4 linked regions of the Drosophila melanogaster genome follow. The protein of the gene in region 3 purifies or fractionates together with the protein of the main gene of each other region. This does not show direct contact. Each region holds a gene or a part of one and is shown on either strand. Other genes may lie near its edges. The genes, in order: Scp1, kdn, TpnC41C and CG10581.

Region 1 (4,906 bases), 2.1 Mb from region 3:
CCAGATCACGATGACCTGGTCATAATAGAGCAGAGCTCATTGACAACAATAACCAACAAGTCATTGTTTACAAACAAGAAAGAATAAACAAACTGACTACAGTATCTAAAGCTCTAACAATTTCTATACAAAAGGGCAGTTCCGTTCGTTTAGAAATTGCTCTTAGTTTACAAACCCAGATTAGACTCCTAAAAGTAGAAACTGCCATCCAGTGGGCGCGACAAGAGGTCGTAACACACTAGTACTAAATGAAGATGAATTAATTGAAATAGAAAGAATATTTAAGGGAAACAACATGTTATTACTATCGATGAAAGAAGCTATGGCGTTTTCCGAGGTCTCTATTCTACATAATAAGACAACACATTTGTACATCGTAAAAGTCGCAAACTTTATAGAAATACTAAGATATCATTGTAAAACCAATAGTTAAAAACAACAGAACTACAACAACTTAGACTTTCAAGAAATCTTTGCTTTCGAAAATCTTACCTATATATACATATATAAATATGCGATGAGAAAAAAATTGTAAATATAAGAAATTAATTAATTAAATTAGTTGATTGCTCTCCAAATTTAGTTCTGGGAAAGAAAGATCTGTGTAGTTTTAGCAACTCCGACAACTTATCCAGAATGGAAGAGGTCGACGACGGAATCATCCTATTAAACGATTACGATGGAATCATATCCTGGATCCTCACAGAGCTTCACCTACTTTGTTTAGCTATCAAACGACTCGATGATTATCGACAACAGGGGGATTCGCCAACTTGGAACCTACAGCCCTGTCTCCTAGTTCGCCTCTTGTACAATTTACAGATGAAGAAAAAGAAAGACTGAGGTTATATCTCTTGAAACACTGAACCGTTGCATATACATAAAAGGCCAACAGCATAACCCTACTGACGCTCTTCGACAATACTCTGATTATCATCCTGGGCCTTCACACCTATAGTCAAAGGAAGAGAAGCATAAACTTGCAGCTTAGACCTATACCGGGAATGGAAACAAAAGTTAACATCAGCTACCTCAGTTCAATAACATTCCCTACATAAATTAGAAAGTTAAAGTTAATAACAATGAATTCAACATCGGTCTACAACAGAATGTAATAGAGTAACAAACCCCAAATATGCAAGCTCAGCGCCACCAAGCAGATTTCCCAAAATGTGTTTGGCAATTGTTTCCGCTCCCACCAGCGCTTGTGATTCCAAGAAGCCGACGTCGATCCTCTGCCAATAAGGACAGCACAGCCGACAGCTAAAGACTCGCAGCTTATAAAGACGATGTTCTCACTTAAGTTTATAGTCCAACTCTTTTAATGCTCGTTACTCATAGAGTAAAAGGGTATACTAGATTGGTTGAAACAGGCAGAAGAAAGCGCTTCCGACAATAAAATGTATATATATTCATGATCAGGATCAATGTATCGATTTGCAAAAAAAAATTTTGCCACGCCTACTCAAACGCCCCAAAGCCGACAAGCCGGTCACCCCCGCACTTTTGAAAAATTGTTAGATATTTTTCATAATTTTATTGGTCGTGTATATTTCTATTGATTTGCCAAAAAACTTTTTGCCACGCCCACTCAAACGCCCTAAAGCCACCAAACCGGTCACGCCCACACTTTTTTAACAATTTTTTATTTTTTTTTCATTTTATTTTTTTTCTAATATCAATCAATCAATCGATATCAATCGATTTTCCAGAAAAATTATGAACTTTCGCGTTAGCATTGACCCTAGCTTAGTTACTGGTATCTGATAATCAGGGAACTCGACTATAGCCTTCTCTCTTGTTTTATATTATTATACCCGTTACACGTAGAATCAACGAATCTAATTTTACTCTACACGTATGGGGCATAAAAACATATATATATTTTCTTATATGTATATATATTGTTTTTATATAATATTATATCTTAACAGTAATAGACAACTATAGACCGCCGATCACAATGGTAATAAGACATAAAACTGTACATTTGAATGTTGAATATTGTATCTCCTATATATGTATATGTATATGTACATAAAACCGAAAATAAGAATTGTGAGTTTTATAAAATGTGTGCTTTATAATAGGTTATGCATGTACTATAAATATATACTTGTGAATATACATGTGTGTAAGCTTGCAAAAATAGTAAATATTTTTCTATTAATAATCATGTCAATTAATTATCAATTCTTTAAATGTTAAAATGATTTTTGATATATTTTACTATTAGTGTTCAAATACAAAATTAAATAGGGGTGAATTGTTCGCTTTTTTTCCATTTTAAATGGTTAATTAGAGCATAATCTATATGGAAACTTTCACGAATAACATTGTAACAGGTAGGCTTAATATTTGGTAGTAGAAAACTGAATTGTTATTGATTGTGATTTCAAAACAGTGCTATAGTTTACTTAATACAATAATTACATTTAGTACAATGGAAACTCCTAATTAAAAATAAACTACCTTTTGAAAGAGAACAAATATATACAAATGCACTTTCTATACAATACACATTTGTATGTATAATGTTTAGATACATACCATGTAAATAATGTTGCCAAAGTGTACGACTTTTGGCAAAAGGTTTAGCAAATTTAGTTAGTCTGAAGTAAGCTATTCCGAAGGTAAGGAGCTCATATTTACTATTCAAGAACTTTTTACCTAAAAGTACTATTTATAGATACCAAAAAATTTTAATTTATTTATAGACTTTTATTAGTTCAGATAGTAATGGTATTTCTACTTTTAGCTATTTACATTTTATGAGGATAAGCTCCAAACAAATTCCGTCATAATGGCTTATTCCTGGGATAACCGTGTCGATTTTGTCGTTCGGTATATGTATGGTGAGTAGAAAAGGACTTAGGCTTATTAAACGTATCCTATAGTGAATTAAAATACCTTAAAAATTTACGTATATTTTATACAAAAAATTTAAGTTTATATTCCATTGCATTGAATACATAAAGCCATTTTTATACATATCTTCGGAACTATCCGAAATCCGATATTTTAACAATATATACATTTTATTTTAATTTTATTTAATATGGGACGACTATATCATATAGCTGCATTAAGAACTGCTTGAAAATTAAACACCCAAAATAGAATATAAATAAAAGTTTCGTTTTTTAACACTATGGGTGCTAAGTAGACATATATGTTTTTGTAATTACTGAAAGGGTATTTGGATAGGATTAATCAAATTTGCAAGCGCACAAATACAATAAAAATAACATTTACAATTGCTGCGGATCAGATTTATGTAACAATCTCAAGTCTGGCAATTTAAATGTTGCGCCATATTTATGATGTAGTTTTATAATCCGTTAAAATGAGGTCACATGGAACCGGTCAAGTGGTCATTGCAGCTTATATGAGGTTAAGCCAAAGACATTTGAAGAACAAGATGCGTAACGCCATACAATTTTTTGCACACAATTTTATCGGGATGGCTCCAGAGGTGGCTCAGCAGTTCTTTTCTACGCATACAGTGACAGCCGACAACTGTATGGTAATGCATTGTAAATTTGACAATTTACAAGTTCATAGACTTTACATCTGTATTATCTTTGTTTAATTGGCAACATGTAAAAAATTCTTGGCTTGCATGGCCTTAACCAAAGACCCTAGTGTCTAGTTTCTTTGCCTTAACTATATTATTATTTGAATATATATGTACATAATATCACAAAATAAATTTCAAAGATGACTATATTAGAACAAAGGTTATTAGGGCGTTCACTTGCCCCTTGTGAAAAATTAATAAGGCAATCATTGTTGCAATAAACGTGTTCGTGTCTCAAGATATGACTTTTGCAATAAAAAGTTTTCATATTTTTATTCATTTTATAAATATTTATTTTCTACTACTTATTATTTTTGTGAAATATCTTTTCCTCAATGTAATGACTTCTTTTTGGAAAAGTTATGTTTTAATTTAAAATTTTATTATTTTATTTTATTATCCGTTTGATTAAAGCTGACTATACGCCGAGCTTCTCTATTTTTTGAAAGTTTCGCTATATAACCTAGTTTATATATTTAATTAAAGTCGTTTTGTTGCAATATCGTACTTTAGGTGATATATTCAAGGTGTAAATTCGTAATTATTATTTTATTTTATCATATTGCTAAGAAATTGGGTATACTAGGGTATACTAGACTCGTTGAAAAGTATGTAACAGCCAGAAGGTAGCGTTTCCGACTATATAAAGTATATATATTCTTAATCAGGATCAGTAGCGGACATGTCCATCTGTCCGTATGAACGTCGAGATCTCAGGAACTATAAAAGCTAGAAGGTTGAAATTAACCATACAGGTTCTAGAGATAAAGACGCACACTCATTTTTTCATATTTTTATTAGGCTTTAAAATTTCTATGGATTGGCCACAAAACTCTTTGCCACGCCCACTCTGACGGCAGGTTACAGCTAGGTTATGTTGATCATTAACCGAAATTATATTAGGCTAAGTTAAGCCGAGCTTTAAATCTCTCTAAATGCCTATGGGACTCTTGTGGACTCCAAATGGCAACCTCAACTTCACTTGGTCGTAGGGAAAATATTTCAGAGTGTTCAGACAACACGGTTTTCGAGTGTTCGCTTGGATCTCCAATCGCTAAGCTATGAAATCACTGAAATCTATATTCATTGTTAATGGTTTACAATATTAATCTTTGTGCAAATTAAAAGTGTTCCTTTTTAATTATTTGAACAAAAAATTTTTATTTTATTATAATTTAATATTTTATTCATGATAGACCTTTTCACTTATACTATTACAAGACATTCTTTTTATCTCTTGTCTTAAATTTAAAACTGTTCACGATCTCGTCCCGATTCAGACTGATCTTCTAAATATTAATCCTAATCCACTCAACCTTGGCCAGA
Region 2 (4,565 bases), on a different chromosome or scaffold from region 3:
AAAGGACACTTTCAAACGTTTGTTTGTTATTAAAGTTGCCGCATTGACCTTAATTTCCTTTTTTGCCTGTGTACTTATTACCCCACGCAGGTCAAAGAGAAAGCAAATCACCCCCGAAAAAAATCAAAAGGAGGCTCGTCCTGCAAGCCCTTTTTTGTGTGTATGTGTGCACGCCGTGGGTGTACATTTGTACGTACGTGTGTGTGTGTGTGCTATTGATTTTTCTCATTACAAAATCGCAAGTACTATTCTTTTTGTCATTTTTCTCGTTCTTGGCATTATGCAATCCGCTCACATGCAAATGTGCATTGCCGGTGGGTGGTAAGTGGGCGTGCTGCTGCTCCTCCTTTTGCTTTAAGGTCATTCGGCGGACACTTCTCTTTTGCAAAAGAGAGATGGTGTGTCTTCCTTCTATCGCTTTTGGCAACAACAAAAGCACAGCATAAGCATAGTGACACGCATGAGAAACGAAACGGGAACGAATGAAAGGGGAAAATGGTATTCTCTGTTTTTTTCTCTGCTCTCTCTTGCTCGACCAACTCTCTCTGCCTTACGCTCTTTTTCTTCACTTCGCTCTGCGCCGTGGCATTTGTTTTTGTTGTTGTAAATTTACAAGAATAAGACCCAAAAAAAATCAAGCCGGACTTGTGGAAATTTACCAAAAAAAAATTTAAAGCGGGCGGCCCAAAAAGAGACAAAGTTCGTTAAACCCACAAAGAATATAGAGATTTTTATTTATAGGCATTCCGATGTTGCCAAAAAAAAAAAGAAATGGGCGAATTTCATTTGGCGATTATGTAATGTATTAGAAGACACACATACACACAGGCACACACATACGTACGTACATGCATACACGTTAGCACTTATCATTCGCCAACAACAATGAAGAGAATAAAGTTCTTAATCGCAAGCACATGTCTGGAAATTCTTTTTTTTTCAATTCCAGCGTGACGTGTGTTGAAGAAGAAGAAGAGGATGGGAAAAGAGGAGTAGGATCAGATGAGGGATGGGTTGAGGAAGAGCGAAAGGGAGGGGAGAGGACGAAGGTTTTAACAACAGAAGCGACACACTTTACGGTTAGCTAACTGGAAGGAGGTGGATAGAGATCCCAGGAAAGCATGGGAATTCGATACACTGGTCGAAAAGCAAAGGGGTAATTCGAAAAGTTAAAATGAAGAACTCACCTGTGCCTCGGACAATTTCCGTGCGGAAATGCGATAGAGCGACATGGCAATGCGATTACGTACGGCTGCGAGTAGAAGAAAAACACTTTCGCCTTGGCTAGAAAAAAACACACACACAGAAAAAAATTTGCTTTCCTTTTTCTGGAAGTGAAGTGTTCTTTTCGTGGGTCTCTCGTCTAGCAGCTGCGCGGCAACTGAATGGCGCCAATCGCATTTTCTGCGGGAAGGGGCGGCACGAGCGCAAAGAACACCCGCTAATTCCCACGCAACGGCGTTTTCCGCTCTCCCCCAGAAAGGTCACACTTAAGGTGGGCTGCCTGCTCTGGTACTTGAAAAAAAACGCCCACGCAACTTATTTAATTGAAATAGATGTTATATGCTTTGGATGCATTTTTGCTCTACTAAGATCCATATAAATTGACATTTGCTCGAGTGCAGACTAGTTTTCAATTCCAATTTTAAAAAAGTCTATTAGCTATCCCAGTCGACACCCCCCATTTCCATGCATTTTAAACCGCTCCCTGACATTGTCTGTTTGCTATAGAGTATAAATACTGTCGTGTGAGGGAAATATCTTTTTATTGCGGGAAAATCAAACACCGACTTTTGTAAAAAATAATCATATTTCAACTGAAGTTTTATAATAAAGCTTTGCCGAAAAAGGCCACAGATCAATAAAAAGTTCGATATTCACGAAGACGTTTATCATCATAACTTTGTTAAAACTTGTCGTACAGTTTACAATTTAGTAGTTTTAATTACTTAGTTTTAGTAGTTTTTTTACTTTTAGTAGCGAATTCGCAGTGCTAGGATTCCTACCACTTTTTGAAGGATTTAGGGAAATTAATTTTTGGGTCAATTTTTTTTTTGTAAGGGGTAACATCATCAAAATTTGCAAAAATTGGCCAAAAAATAGAATTCCTATTTTTTGATACAGTTCGACAGGGAATTTAAATACGAGCTCGACGAGGTATTGCATTCCGTATTCAGACAATTATTTTTAAAGTTATGGCAAAAAAAAACTGATTCTTTTATGACGGAAAATCGAAAAAAATTATTTTTGCAAAAATTACAAAATTATAGATGGGCATTTTAATCATAACTTGACTAAAAGTGATCACAAAGCGAAAAGAATAACTGTTTTGAGCAGCTAATTGCGAAGGCTAACCATCCCAATCACTTTTTGACCGATTTGGAAAAACTAATTTTTTGGTAATTTTTCGCATTTTTTGTAAGGGGTAACATCATCAAAATTTGCGAAAAATGGTCAAAAAATAGAATTTCCATTTGTGGATACAGTTTGATAGGGAATTTAAATACGAGCTCAACGAGATATGGAACTCCATATTTGGACAAATATTTTTAAAGTTGTGGCCAAAAAACTGATTCATTTTTGAACGAAATTTGGAAAAACAGATCTTGGCAAATATTAAATAAAATTTGTTTATGGTCATATGGTCTTGGTCACCTTTCTCGCTGTTATGGAAAAATCAGATGAAGGGAGATTTATATTAAAAGAAAACTCACTTGGGCATCCTGCATATCAGGCATGTTCAAGGTTTCCGGAGTCGCCGATTGTTGCTGCTCCTTGAGATTGCCAGTCACGTTATCCTTTTTGGAACGCATTCGGAATGAACTTGGAGTCCCAATGGACTTCGAGTCCCACATAGAATTTTTAGCCAAATAACGTCGTTGAAAGGCAAAATGATGGCCCAAAGAGCCATTTCCGAAACGGCGTACGAACATTACTACTTTTAGCTGTAAATATATACGATATTTCGAAGTTTCTAGTTCGCTTTTTCTCTTGTTTTTGGGAATGTGAAAGCTAGTGATGTAGGATACAAAAATTTATTTTGACAGGAAAGCGATTGCGATAAATATAGGGATGGTATCAAACAGTTCGGAATACTGTATATACTGTAATACCGTATAAACGTTTGCACGTTCTACTGTGACTTGTTGTTGTGATTGTCTTTCGATAATAATATAATATAAATCAAATAAATTGACTCAACTTTTCACGTTAGAAAATATTTTTCAACTTCGTTTGCAGTATTCGCCACTTTTTGGTATATTTTCGTCACTACTTGGTATTTTACCCTGCCCCAAGTCAGGCCACACTGCCTTGGTGTTATGCAAAAAACGTCATTTTTTTGACAATTCAACAGATTTTTTCCCTTTATTCGAGCGTAAGTCCCAGTTTACCGGCCAAACAGCCGACTGATATATACTTTGTACCACAGGAGGAGTCACCATGGCGACGGCAGTGCCGCATTGTCCCCCGAAACAGGACCTTCCACCGCCGGGCGGCTACAAGAAGATACCCTTTGCCCGCGTGCCACCGAAGAGCTACTTCACAGGTGAGCTCCTCCAAATCCCATTGATCTAACCATATATGTGCTGGTAACTATATCAATCCCTCGGCAGGCTTCACCACCATCGGCACCTATGTGGTTGTGACAGCCGTTGGCCTGGGCATCTACTACTTGACCGCCAAGAAGGTGAAGCGCGACGAGATCGAGATGCGTTCCGCCCAGAATGTCATCTTTCCCATTTTGGTCGCCGAGCGGGATCGCGAATTCCTGCGCCAGTTGCGACGCAATCGGGACGAGGAGGCCGAGCTGATGAAGAACGTGCCCGGCTGGGAGGTGGGCACCTGGTATGGTGAGCCCGTTTTCAAGACCCTGCCCGAGGATACCCTGGTCACGCCCATTTTCAAGGAGTTCTACGCCCACTCCGACTGGAAGTCGTACGCCAAGCGTGCCCACTTGAAGCTCTGGTCCTAAATCGGCCTAGTTAATGGATTAGTTAATGCCTAAGCACGCACCTTTTTGTTTGTAGATCATCCGCCTAAGCGCCAAAAAAAGAAAGTATCGACCAATTATAATGTCAGATCAGATTGGCTGAAATACCGATTCTCTTTGTGTGTGTTTAATCCAAATCCTGTGCTGGACCACCCGAGGTAGCCAGAGATTTTTACCAAACCGGGGGCGTTGCCGTCCAGCTGCAATATAGCCCACGGGCAGTGCTCAAAAATGGCCAAATTAGATGGATTTGGTGGCACCAACAGCGGGGAATCCCAGTTGGCTGTGTCACCAAATTAAAATCTAATTGAAAATCTGCTGCTTAGTAAAAATAATAAATTCACAACATAAAACACTACGAAATGCTTATGATTCAATAGGGATTATTAAAATAGCAATGAAGAAATCTTGAGCCATTGAAAAACATTCTTGATTTATTTTATTTTTATTTTTTATTGAATTCAACATCGATTTGACGCTCGTTTTGTGTGTCAGTATTTGGAGTTTCGGGTTATTACACAATAGCGGGTGATCGTGAGCTCTAACATTAAGTAGTCGTAATTATAAGTAAGTA
Region 3 (7,355 bases):
GGCAAGCTAATGCACACGGGGCCGGCTACACGCAGGCGGCACCGTTGCAGGTAACACTGCTGAGAAACTCTACGAAAATGCCCGTAATACTCGGAGACGGCATAATAGTAGTTAACACTGATGGGAAAACTCTGCGGCAATGCCCGGAATACTCGCATGCGACATGATCACAGTTAATACACGGACTCGTTCATTTGTTACTCATATTCCTCCCTTAGCCATAGCTGTCCCTGTCACACTCGAAAATGAATATGATATTATATAATAAAAAAATTTGATTCTTCACAACGGGCTTGTTCCACAGTTTTTGAAATCGAAGGCCATAGGCCAGACTGTCTTATTTTAGTATTCAGAAAAAATATTGCCACCGACTTAGAGTTGGACTTATCAATCCAAGGGAATCAAACGCCTTTTCTATCGTAGAAAGAATTGATCGTCTTGTTCTGTTACGAAGATACGAATTCATATCATAAGTCCAGTTTGAACTTACAATCCGATCTAGATATCTTTCAAATATGGTGCCGTGATAACGTACTAAACTTAAATGGCTCCAAGTGTAAAGTTATGACCTTTTGCCGTATCAACCAATACACACAACTTGCACTTAAAGGGTCGCTCTTTAGACAGAATAAAACGGGTTGATGATCTTGGTGTTTTTCTGGACCTAAACTTAAATTTTAGACCATATTTCGAATATTAAATAAGGCCAGGGGTGTGCTTGGCTTTATAAAAAGGTGGCCAAAGGAATTTTATGATCCTTACACGACCAAAACCTTAGTCCGTCTGATTTTTGAGTAATGGCCACCTGTCTGGAGTCCTCAATACGTCGTTCACTCGGACCGCATTGAATCGGTCCAAAAAAACGTTTTTCTGTTAACTCGGGCAGCGCCCAAGTTATCAGTGTGTCCAAAGGGGGAAGCTGATGAGTTTGGATATAGTTATCGGTATTCCCAAAGGGGGCATACTGAGCTCTTTCGAGTTTAAAACCAGAGTGGTCTTTATTGTGTCGGAGAAGTCTCCTCTAGCTCTTGGTTACTCAAGTTTTTGTCTTATAGATAAGTGCTTTTGGTTTTAAGTGTACATAGGTTCTTAATGTAAATATAATAATTTTTTTAGATTTTGCACCACTTACGGGGAGCATTTTCGAAATGTATTCAAACATAAATTGGCCAGAAGATAAGCAAATAAAGCAATAGATCCGCTATTCAGCTAGTGAGAGCGGGACCGATTTTTGAAACTTTCTGATCAAAAATGTATATACTTTATAGGATCGGAAAATCAACCTTCTGCCTGTTACATATTTAATAACGAATCTTGTAGTCAAGGGTATAAAAAATATATTCCGTTGTTTTATGTTTCATAATATGATTTTTTCATGATTTTTTATATATAATAACTGCGAGGGTGTATAAGCTTAGGAAATGTTATATTTTTATTCTATTCATAATTTTTTTGACCAATTTCTATAAGTATGCCCAAAAAGATTGGCCACGTCCACAATAAATGTAACCGCTACCAGGTTGCAATTGTGAGTAATCTCGTGAAGAGTGTTTTCTAATTTTGTTTTTTGTGTCTCCATTTCCCTTACACTCCCACACGCTGAGTATCAGAAGGGCGAGAAACAAAATTATAGCGTTCGCTCTTGTTTTTGAATTGCAATTTTTGTTCACAAATACCATTTTATAATACGTTCCAAGATCTAATGCAATGTACGGTTTATAAAAATAAAGAATTTTGATGAATATTGTGTATCTAAAAATAAAACTCTGAGTATTTTTCTGTCTTGTGGATAAAATTATCTTTGAGTTACATGACATACGGAATATTTATGTTGTCTTTTTTATTTGGTTTTAATTGTTGTTTTTGTTTCAACAAAAATAGTTGCAGAGCTATCATCGTATTAAGTCTAAAATGTTCCTGAATGTTGAGATGCATCCACAGAAGACACATAGCCCATATGTGTTTTAATCGCGTCAATACCAAGTTTATTTCTCGTCTTCAATTGTTTATTTAGCTTTTAATTAACGGAGTGTTCAATTTTTTAATATTAGAGATTAATCCAAAGAGCTAAAAAAATGAGCGTAAGTTAATCGGCAAAAAAAATAATCCCAGTATAAGTTTCCAAGCTACTTCGAGTTAAAATTTCAAGATTAAAGGAGTCAAAATTATTTCAGATGATCTCAATACTGAACGTTTTTCAGGGTGCAATCAGTTCAAATAAAATAAGTAACGATATAACGTTTTATATAGAGAGTTAATGCTTAACGCCCACGTTCCAGCAATGTTTGCTCGATAACTTTTCAATTAAGTCAGAGAATAAACATATTGTACATTCAACTAATATTTCTTTAAACATCATTAAACAGCTCACACATGTATTTGATTTGCAAATACTACATTTTTACTTTAAGGAATCTTACGTTTTTGGTCCGTCTGTCAGTCAGTCCGTCTGTCCGCATGTACAGGTACATTTACATCTATATACACCCATTCTTGATCACTAGTCGAATCGACCAGGTCATGTCCATCTTCCTGCCTATCTAAGGTATAACAAGAGAGAATGCTATAGTCGAGTTCGCGAACGCGAATTGCATTATTTTTCTGGGATATCGACAGATATTGGGGAGTAAAATGAGAAAAAAATAAAGAAAAGTGTGGGCGTGACCGATTTGGCGGCTTTAGGGCGTTTGAGTGGCGTGGCAAAAAGTTTTTTGGCAAATCTATAGAAATTTACAAGACCTTCTAGCTTTTATAGTTCCTGAGATCTCGACGTTCATACGGACAGACGGACGTGGCCAGATCGACTCGGCTATTGTTCCTGATCAAGAATATATTTACGTTATATAGTCGAAAACTCTTTCTTCTGCCTGTTACATACTTTTCAACAAATCTAGTAAACCCTCTACGAGTAATGGGTATAAATATCGAAATCCGTGGTTAATTTGAAAGTAGCCTTAAAGATTCTTCTGAATCCGTCGTTTCTATTTTCTAGCTTTTATGGATCCCAAAATCGCGTGTATATGATCAGAATAGCTGACCAACTGACGACCAGATTGACTCGGGTAGTGGTCCTGATACTGATTATGCTTATACCTATATTCTTTTTAGGGACGAAAAAGCTTCTTTCTACAAAAATATCAAAGATGGGGTTTATTGAATTTGTTACTTTTCTAAAACAGAGATTCATATTTAGAAAGAAAAGGTAAAGAAAGTGCTCTAGTTAACAAGTTAAGTGGGTCAAGATTAGTGCAGATAAGTGGAGCTAACTTGAGAACATCTTACTAAGAAATAGAAGAAGAGAGAATGCTATAGTGGGGTTCTCCCAGTTTTCTGCGGTATTATGGCGTTAGAGTGGGCGCGGCAAAAAGATTTTTGGAAAATCGATACAAATTTAAAAGACATAAAAGTTTTTTTGCAAATCGATAGAAATTTACAAACAAAAAAATTTAAAAATATCAAAACATTTTTAAAAAGTGTGGGCAATTTTCTGCGATTTGTGGTCGTTAGAGTGATCGTGGCAGCATGAGTCAATGAACTTGCCTTCCGTATATGTCTCTAGAATCTGTAAGCTTAATTTCAGAAAGCTGAAATCGAGACGCTGAATACGGACAGACGGACATGGAAATATCAACTCGGCTTTTGATGCTGATCAAGAATATATATACTTTATATGGTCTGCCTGTCTGGAAATCTAGTTAACACTTTTATCCTACGAGTAACGGGTTGATAGAAAAATTGTTTTGCACGCCCACTCTGACGCCCACAAGCCGCCCATTTTTCTCATTATATTCTCTAATTTCTCCCTATGTCCAAAAATGTCTCGTTCACACTTCCAGCTGAGAAATAGCAATTTATCATGTTTTTGAAGCCTACGGATATCCGATCTTTTAGAGATCCCTCTGTAATTGCTTACATATATTTGTTTATGAAGAGGTATCACGGACTCCTCCCATATATATAAAGGGTAAAGTAGAGGCTTGCATAAGACTTTCGCACAGAGCCTAAGCACTCAGCGTGTTAAGACTGGCTTAACTCGCTGAAGATCGTAAAGTAGTGAGCTTTCGTTTGAAGTGGGGCAAAATTTCAATTTGGACTTCTAAGCCGCTTAAGAGTAAGGGTGTTCGTCGGGGAAGTTTAATTCCCACGATCCCTCTTTCATATTTTTCATCTTAGCTTCAAACTCCTTCACCACCGTACTTTTCGGTCGAAAATCATCAGAACACTTCAAAAAATAAAATGTCACTCACGCAAGAAAATTTAATATTTTCCTTTTTAATGTTATCGGCTTTGGAAGACAAATCTTAAAATTAAAGTAGACATGATGATTGGGGACTTCGGGTACTGTTTATTTTAATGATATATAAATCTTGGTAAGCCTATCACCTCTCCAAAATAATGAGAATTATTATTAAGTTAATTTTTTAATTAAAAAAAATGATTTGTTTTCCCACCGTTCGTCTGTCGTCAACTCTCACTACCGCATAAAAGCTGTCGATCATATAACGATAGGGCAGTGTGCCCGGCTTAGGACTTGTCTTAGCCGACTAGAGTTTTTGTTGGTGTTGGCTAAATGTTTGTACTGAATGAAATATTTCGCCCCCGGTTTATTAACTTTTCCAATAACTTTTCCACTTACCGGAATAGACTCGTTTATTGGCGATTTTCTTTCGTTGCTATTAGTGTGACCCATCATGCAATTCTTGGCTTTAACCTTGAATTTTACAATTTTATAAAATCAAGCAAGGTAGGACCTCCTTTGGAAGGGACAATTTTAGCAATTCAGCTATGTACACACCACAAGGCGGCTTTAAAAATGGCGAATATTGGAGGAGGAAAGCCGCTTTGCATTCCAATCGATTTCCAAAACTATCGTTGACCTTACGTGAAATAAAAACTAATCACTGGCATTAGATTGACATCAAACCACACATCAGGCAGTTAACAATTAAGAATTCAAACACAGTTAAAGTCATGACGCATAAATATATTAAATGAAATTGTATTTTAGTATTATGCCTATATTGTATATTTCTAAATAAACACCCTTATTTTTCTTAGGATGAATTGACTAAGGAGCAAACTGCATGTAAGCTTATAACCCATTTACTGATTTCTTAACTAAAAAGCATTTCCTTATAGTACTACGTAATGCATTTAATGCTTTTGACCCTGAAAAAAATGGATATATCAACACAGCTATGGTGGGTACGATACTTAGCATGTTGGGTCATCAACTTGATGATGCAACTCTTGCTGACATTATCGCTGAAGTCGATGAGGATGGTTCGGGCCAAATCGAATTTGAAGAATTTACCACCCTGGCAGCCCGCTTCCTTGTGGAAGAGGACGCTGAAGCTATGATGGCTGAATTGAAGGAAGCTTTCCGCCTTTACGACAAAGAAGGAAATGGATATATAACTACTGGTGTTCTTCGTGAAATCCTGCGCGAACTAGACGATAAATTGACAAATGACGACCTGGACATGATGATTGAGGAAATTGATTCCGATGGATCGGGTACTGTTGATTTTGATGGTATATAAATCATACAGCTGAATTACAAACGCTTTGCTATTTTATAACATATATTATTTTATAGAATTTATGGAAGTAATGACCGGTGGCGACGACTAAAACAATATCAAAAGAGTACATCGAAATAAGTATTTTAATTTAAACAATGCAATCAAAATTGAATGACATGAGAAAAAATTATATTATATTATTTTGTCTAAAGTAAATAAGTAAATTGATCGTATGAAAACGTAAAATATTTTATTCTTACGCATTTTTTTAAAACCCTTTTAAGTTACTTTAAGTAGTCCTGCCAAATGGAATAAATCTCTATCGGTTCCACGCAAATAGTATAGTTTAGTTTTGTATAGTTTAGTTTATAGTTTATAGTCACGTTGGCCGTGTTGTTAGAGGCCTTGGACTGCTTGCGCCACTTTAGTCGAACTGCATTTTCTTTGTTGCTATCAGTCTGACTCAACGAGCCATTTGTTTCCCCCCTTTGCTTCAGACTCTTGGCTGCTCGGAATTTAACGTTTCTGTAAGGGAGGTGGACGAGTACGGAGCGTTAAGAAATTTTTGGTACATCGCAGATTGAAGTCCAAGCGGATTAACGGATTCACTCGCCAGTCAATTTAGAAAAATTAGCTGGAAGACGGATAATTTTAAGGAATTATGCGTAAAAACGACAAGGATTGTTTTTAGTCAAAAAGCACGAAGTGATAAACAATGCCTTAAGAGAATTATAAAAAAGATATTGTCCGATTAATAAATCTGGAGAATTGAAAGGTAAAACATTAAAGCAACTAGAGCGATACAATGAAAATGATACAGGCCAATATTAAATTCCTCATTAAGCATTTATAAGAGAGGATAGTCTTATCACTAAGCTTCGGGTGGTGTTTGACGCAAAGACCAAAACAACAGATGGGAAAAGCTTTGGTATTCACATGACTAGGACATACATTTAGAGGATAGGCAGCACGTGCTTTCCCCTCCCACCACCTCTAGCTGACCAAATTGCAGCTGAAGTCATTGTTCTGCAAGTGGGTCATTATCTACTCTACCTCCACCGCCGGGAATGTCGGTGTCAGCTAGCGCAGCATCAGCACCGGAAGACAGGCTAACGACTCTGGAGCTCTGCAGCGTACCGATGATGAAAGGGCATACGGACCTTGTGTTTGGCTAAGCGTTGGGCCGCTGAGCTTACGAGCGGCTGGCGAAGCGCTGGCCACTCGTTCGATTTTCGATTTTTTTTTTTATCAAATTATAAAATTGTACTTAATTATAGAAATAAAAGAAACTAAGACCTTGAAGTATTCATTTTTCATATGGTGAAAACCGAAAGCATGCAACTCCCTGCAAGGATTCCAACTCCAAGTAGTATTTTCGACTGCTTAGATTGGCGCCCGAACAGTTCGCTCATCACGAGGATGGAGAATGAAAAAAAGGGGAAAATGCTTGCGACCGGTGCACCGCGGTGATGAGAAAAAACTATAAAATGTGAACAAAAAGTCCAAATAATAAAATACAATAGGCTGATACGCACCACGGTGACAAGATAGTTCACGGGTGTGATGTGCCAGATGTGACAACTAAATATTTAAAAAATCCAAATATGAAATAAATATAAAAATTAAATAAATATATATAAAAATAAAAAAAATATGGCAAAGCGTTAAGCTTGTTCAAGGGCATAAGATAAGATAAGATAAGATATATGAAATCAATTATGGTGCACGGTCGTGAGGGGAAACCCTATTGTGCGGAGACTTACCAGAAACGCTAAGAGGCGTTGAATGCGATCCATACCTTATTAGGCAATGCCAAAACTGACGCCTGCG
Region 4 (2,723 bases), on a different chromosome or scaffold from region 3:
TTTTAAATATATATTGTTTCAAAATATAATCAATTTAAAGATGAATACTATCTCCTGACTGATTATAATTACTTAATGGAATATTTTGGCTCTTAATGAGATCACAAAATAAACAACCGCATTTTACAGAGTATTTAGTGAGAAATTGTTCTTTGTAATATGTAAAATGCTCGTTGACACATCTAGAACAATATCGACAAAATTCTTTTTAAATATGTTGAAATCAAATTGCTGAACATTGCAAATTTTTTCTGGCCCCCAAATGCCATGAAAATTATTTTGCAACCGCAATTTTAAAGTGCATCTCTTCCTATTGGAAGTTTCCATTTAAGCGGGATGTCCAATAGGAAAATATGATATGCCATTAATTCACCCTTATTTAACAGATATTTGAATATATTACTAGATAGTAAACATTGGTGGGCACTCACTTATCATCGAGATCGACGGGCAGTCGCTTGAGCTCCGACATGTCCAGCTCCAGTCGCAGATTGGACACTTCACAGAGCAGGCGATCGCGTTCCAGACTCAACTCCTTGATCTTGGCGTGCAGGGCATTGTTCTCCCGGAGCAGCTCGTCCACATTGTAGGGCATCGCATGCACATGGTGATGGGGCATGTTGATGGAGAGGGGCAGGGGCAGGGAAACGGGTCCAGGTGGGGCGACACCCCCAGCGGAACCGCCCGGCCCTCCTTGGTTTCCCACAAACATTATGGAGCTGGCCATCAGCAGGGACTGCGTGGTCTGATGCAGCAGCAATTCCTGGTCGCCATCCGAGTTCTGGGATAGATTCTTCAGATCGGCCTCGGACATGTTTTGTTTATAACCTTAGCGGGGATCGGCTGCACTCCTAATCGATGTGCTTTTGTGGCCAAAACATTATAGCCCCGCCACGCACACGCACTCGCGCGAATGAGGGAAGGTGGTGGAGAGGGTGATAAAACAGCGAAACAGGCAGAACCACTTTGAATCTCACAATAAGAACTGAAAATGCAGCTTGCTGCGAGTTGAAACTTCACTCGTATTGTAATTGAATGACCTTCGTATATTATACTTCAGAGCCAGCACTTCGAATCGCGAGCAACAGTTGGTGCGGATCGGAGGGGGATTACGAATATTCTCGGAATTACGGATTTTCAATTCACGCGCGACGAAAAACACGACGCACTCGTCGTTCGACGTTTGGAAACAGTGTGGACGTGCTGGGGGGCACCGCAGTGTGACCATAGAGCATGCAACTCAAAATACGCTATCGTATTCAAAAAATATACCGCATCAAATGTGGCATTTTAAGACGACCGTTTTATTTTAAAATATATTGTTGTTTTCATCTTATTTAAGAAGGGCATAAACAATCTTAAGTTTATGCTCATTATTATACATAAGCATTTTCTTTCTTTGATAAATTTAAAACTCATTAAATCTAAATATGTGTGCATTAATTAAGATTTATTTTGGAACTGCCAATGATCCATTCCTGGTTGATCTAGTTCACCACAAAAATATTCTATAAAATTGGTATTGTAATAATAAGCCGACATGAAGAACCAAAAAAATATAACCATTATACTAACTGGGCCACCAGGTGCAAATTTAGCTGGGAAAATATTTGCTATTTGTTTATTATGTATGTAATCATGATTTTCAGGAGTGGGTAAAACTACACTGGTCCACAAAATATGCTCGGCTCTGCAGGATAGAGGACGCATTCTTCAAGGATTCTACACAGAGGAAATGCGAGGTGAGGGCACCAGCCAAAGAATCGGCTTCGACGTGGTCACGTTAGCCGGAAAACGAGCAATCCTATCTCGCAAGAATCCCGGGGACCAGCTGCGACGACCCAAAGTGGGAGAGTATTCGGTGTTTGTGCAGGACTTCGACAGTCTCGCTCTGCCAGTACTTGGCACACAGGATTCCCAACCAGAGCCGGATCTCCTGGTCGTGGATGAAGTGGGCAAAATGGAGCTGCTTAGCAAGCGATTTGAGTCGGCCATGGCTGATCTCCTGAAGAAAAAGCGGGCCCTATTGGTCACCATACCCGAGAAATCAACATTGGCTTTGGTGGAGCAGCTGAGAAAGTCAGCAGGATCCAAGATTTACCAGGTGACCAAATTCAATAGGAACGCCTTGGCTGGAGAGATTACAGAAGAGATTACAAAAGCACTTCTTTAACAAAGTAAAATTGTTGGTCTTTTTAATAGTGCCTAGATGTATAATCGTGCTGCCGATTCTCCGCCGCTGGGAGATCATCATCCGATGCTACGCATCCACGGAGCCAGTTGTTGAGTGATTCATTGCGGGCGGCGGCATGGCTGAAGTCAGTGACTGGGATTCGCTCTTCCTCGTCGAACGTTTCCGAACACGTTTGGTTTCCCTAGCCCAGTCCATTTCATTGTAGTGCTGCTCGGAAGCGGTCCAGTGGTACTCCTGTCGGCTGACCAGTTCCGGGTACTTTTGCTCGAACTCCTTGTCGGGTGGCAGTAGCAGCTCCCACCGTTTTGTGTTATTCACCCGGGCCACAGTCTTCAAAACGTCAAGTGTTTCCGCAGGAGGTAACTGGGTGGCGGCCATTACCTGAGCTCGGAACAGGTAGGGCGTGCGGGAGAAACGAAAGAGCTGCGGATGGATTTGAGGAGATTAGTACAAGATAAGTGATCGCTACACCCATACTATAACTCACTATATAATCTCTGGCGCGAATCATCTGCTCTGCGGACACACC

What was found.
Region 1: the proteins of TpnC41C (region 3) and Scp1 purify together in Drosophila melanogaster (affinity purification with mass spectrometry, with the first as the bait; one large-scale study listed by BioGRID). This does not show direct contact.
Region 2: the proteins of TpnC41C (region 3) and kdn purify together in Drosophila melanogaster (affinity purification with mass spectrometry, with the first as the bait; one large-scale study listed by BioGRID). This does not show direct contact.
Region 4: the proteins of TpnC41C (region 3) and CG10581 purify together in Drosophila melanogaster (affinity purification with mass spectrometry, with the first as the bait; one large-scale study listed by BioGRID). This does not show direct contact.

The regions. Positions count from the first base shown.
Region 1 is NT_033778.4:2,965,044-2,969,949, reverse strand, and holds the start of Scp1 (sarcoplasmic calcium-binding protein 1), read left to right. Parts: upstream 1-1,897; 5' UTR 1,898-1,966; intron 1,967-2,605; exon of another isoform or gene 2,606-2,633; intron 2,634-2,758; 5' UTR 2,759-2,803; coding exon 2,804-2,855; intron 2,856-4,906.
Region 2 is NC_004354.4:6,349,104-6,353,668, reverse strand, and holds the start of kdn (knockdown), read right to left. Parts: upstream 3,041-4,565; 5' UTR 2,934-3,040; coding exon 2,715-2,933; intron 1,388-2,714; exon of another isoform or gene 1,233-1,387; coding exon of another isoform or gene 1,188-1,232; intron 1-1,187. Other genes in the region: ND-B16.6 (NADH dehydrogenase (ubiquinone) B16.6 subunit), read left to right, coding at 3,442-3,547, 3,615-3,973.
Region 3 is NT_033778.4:5,064,708-5,072,062, reverse strand, and holds TpnC41C (troponin C at 41C), read left to right. Parts: upstream 1-1,852; 5' UTR 1,853-2,075; coding exon 2,076-2,081; intron 2,082-5,058; coding exon 5,059-5,086; intron 5,087-5,139; coding exon 5,140-5,535; intron 5,536-5,599; coding exon 5,600-5,634; 3' UTR 5,635-6,826; downstream 6,827-7,355.
Region 4 is NT_037436.4:21,033,010-21,035,732, reverse strand, and holds CG10581 (uncharacterized protein), read left to right. Parts: upstream 1-1,529; 5' UTR 1,530-1,540; coding exon 1,541-1,586; intron 1,587-1,649; coding exon 1,650-2,173; 3' UTR 2,174-2,179; downstream 2,180-2,723. Other genes in the region: siz (schizo), read right to left, coding at 432-814; Polr3E (RNA polymerase III subunit E), read right to left, coding at 2,261-2,617, 2,682-2,723.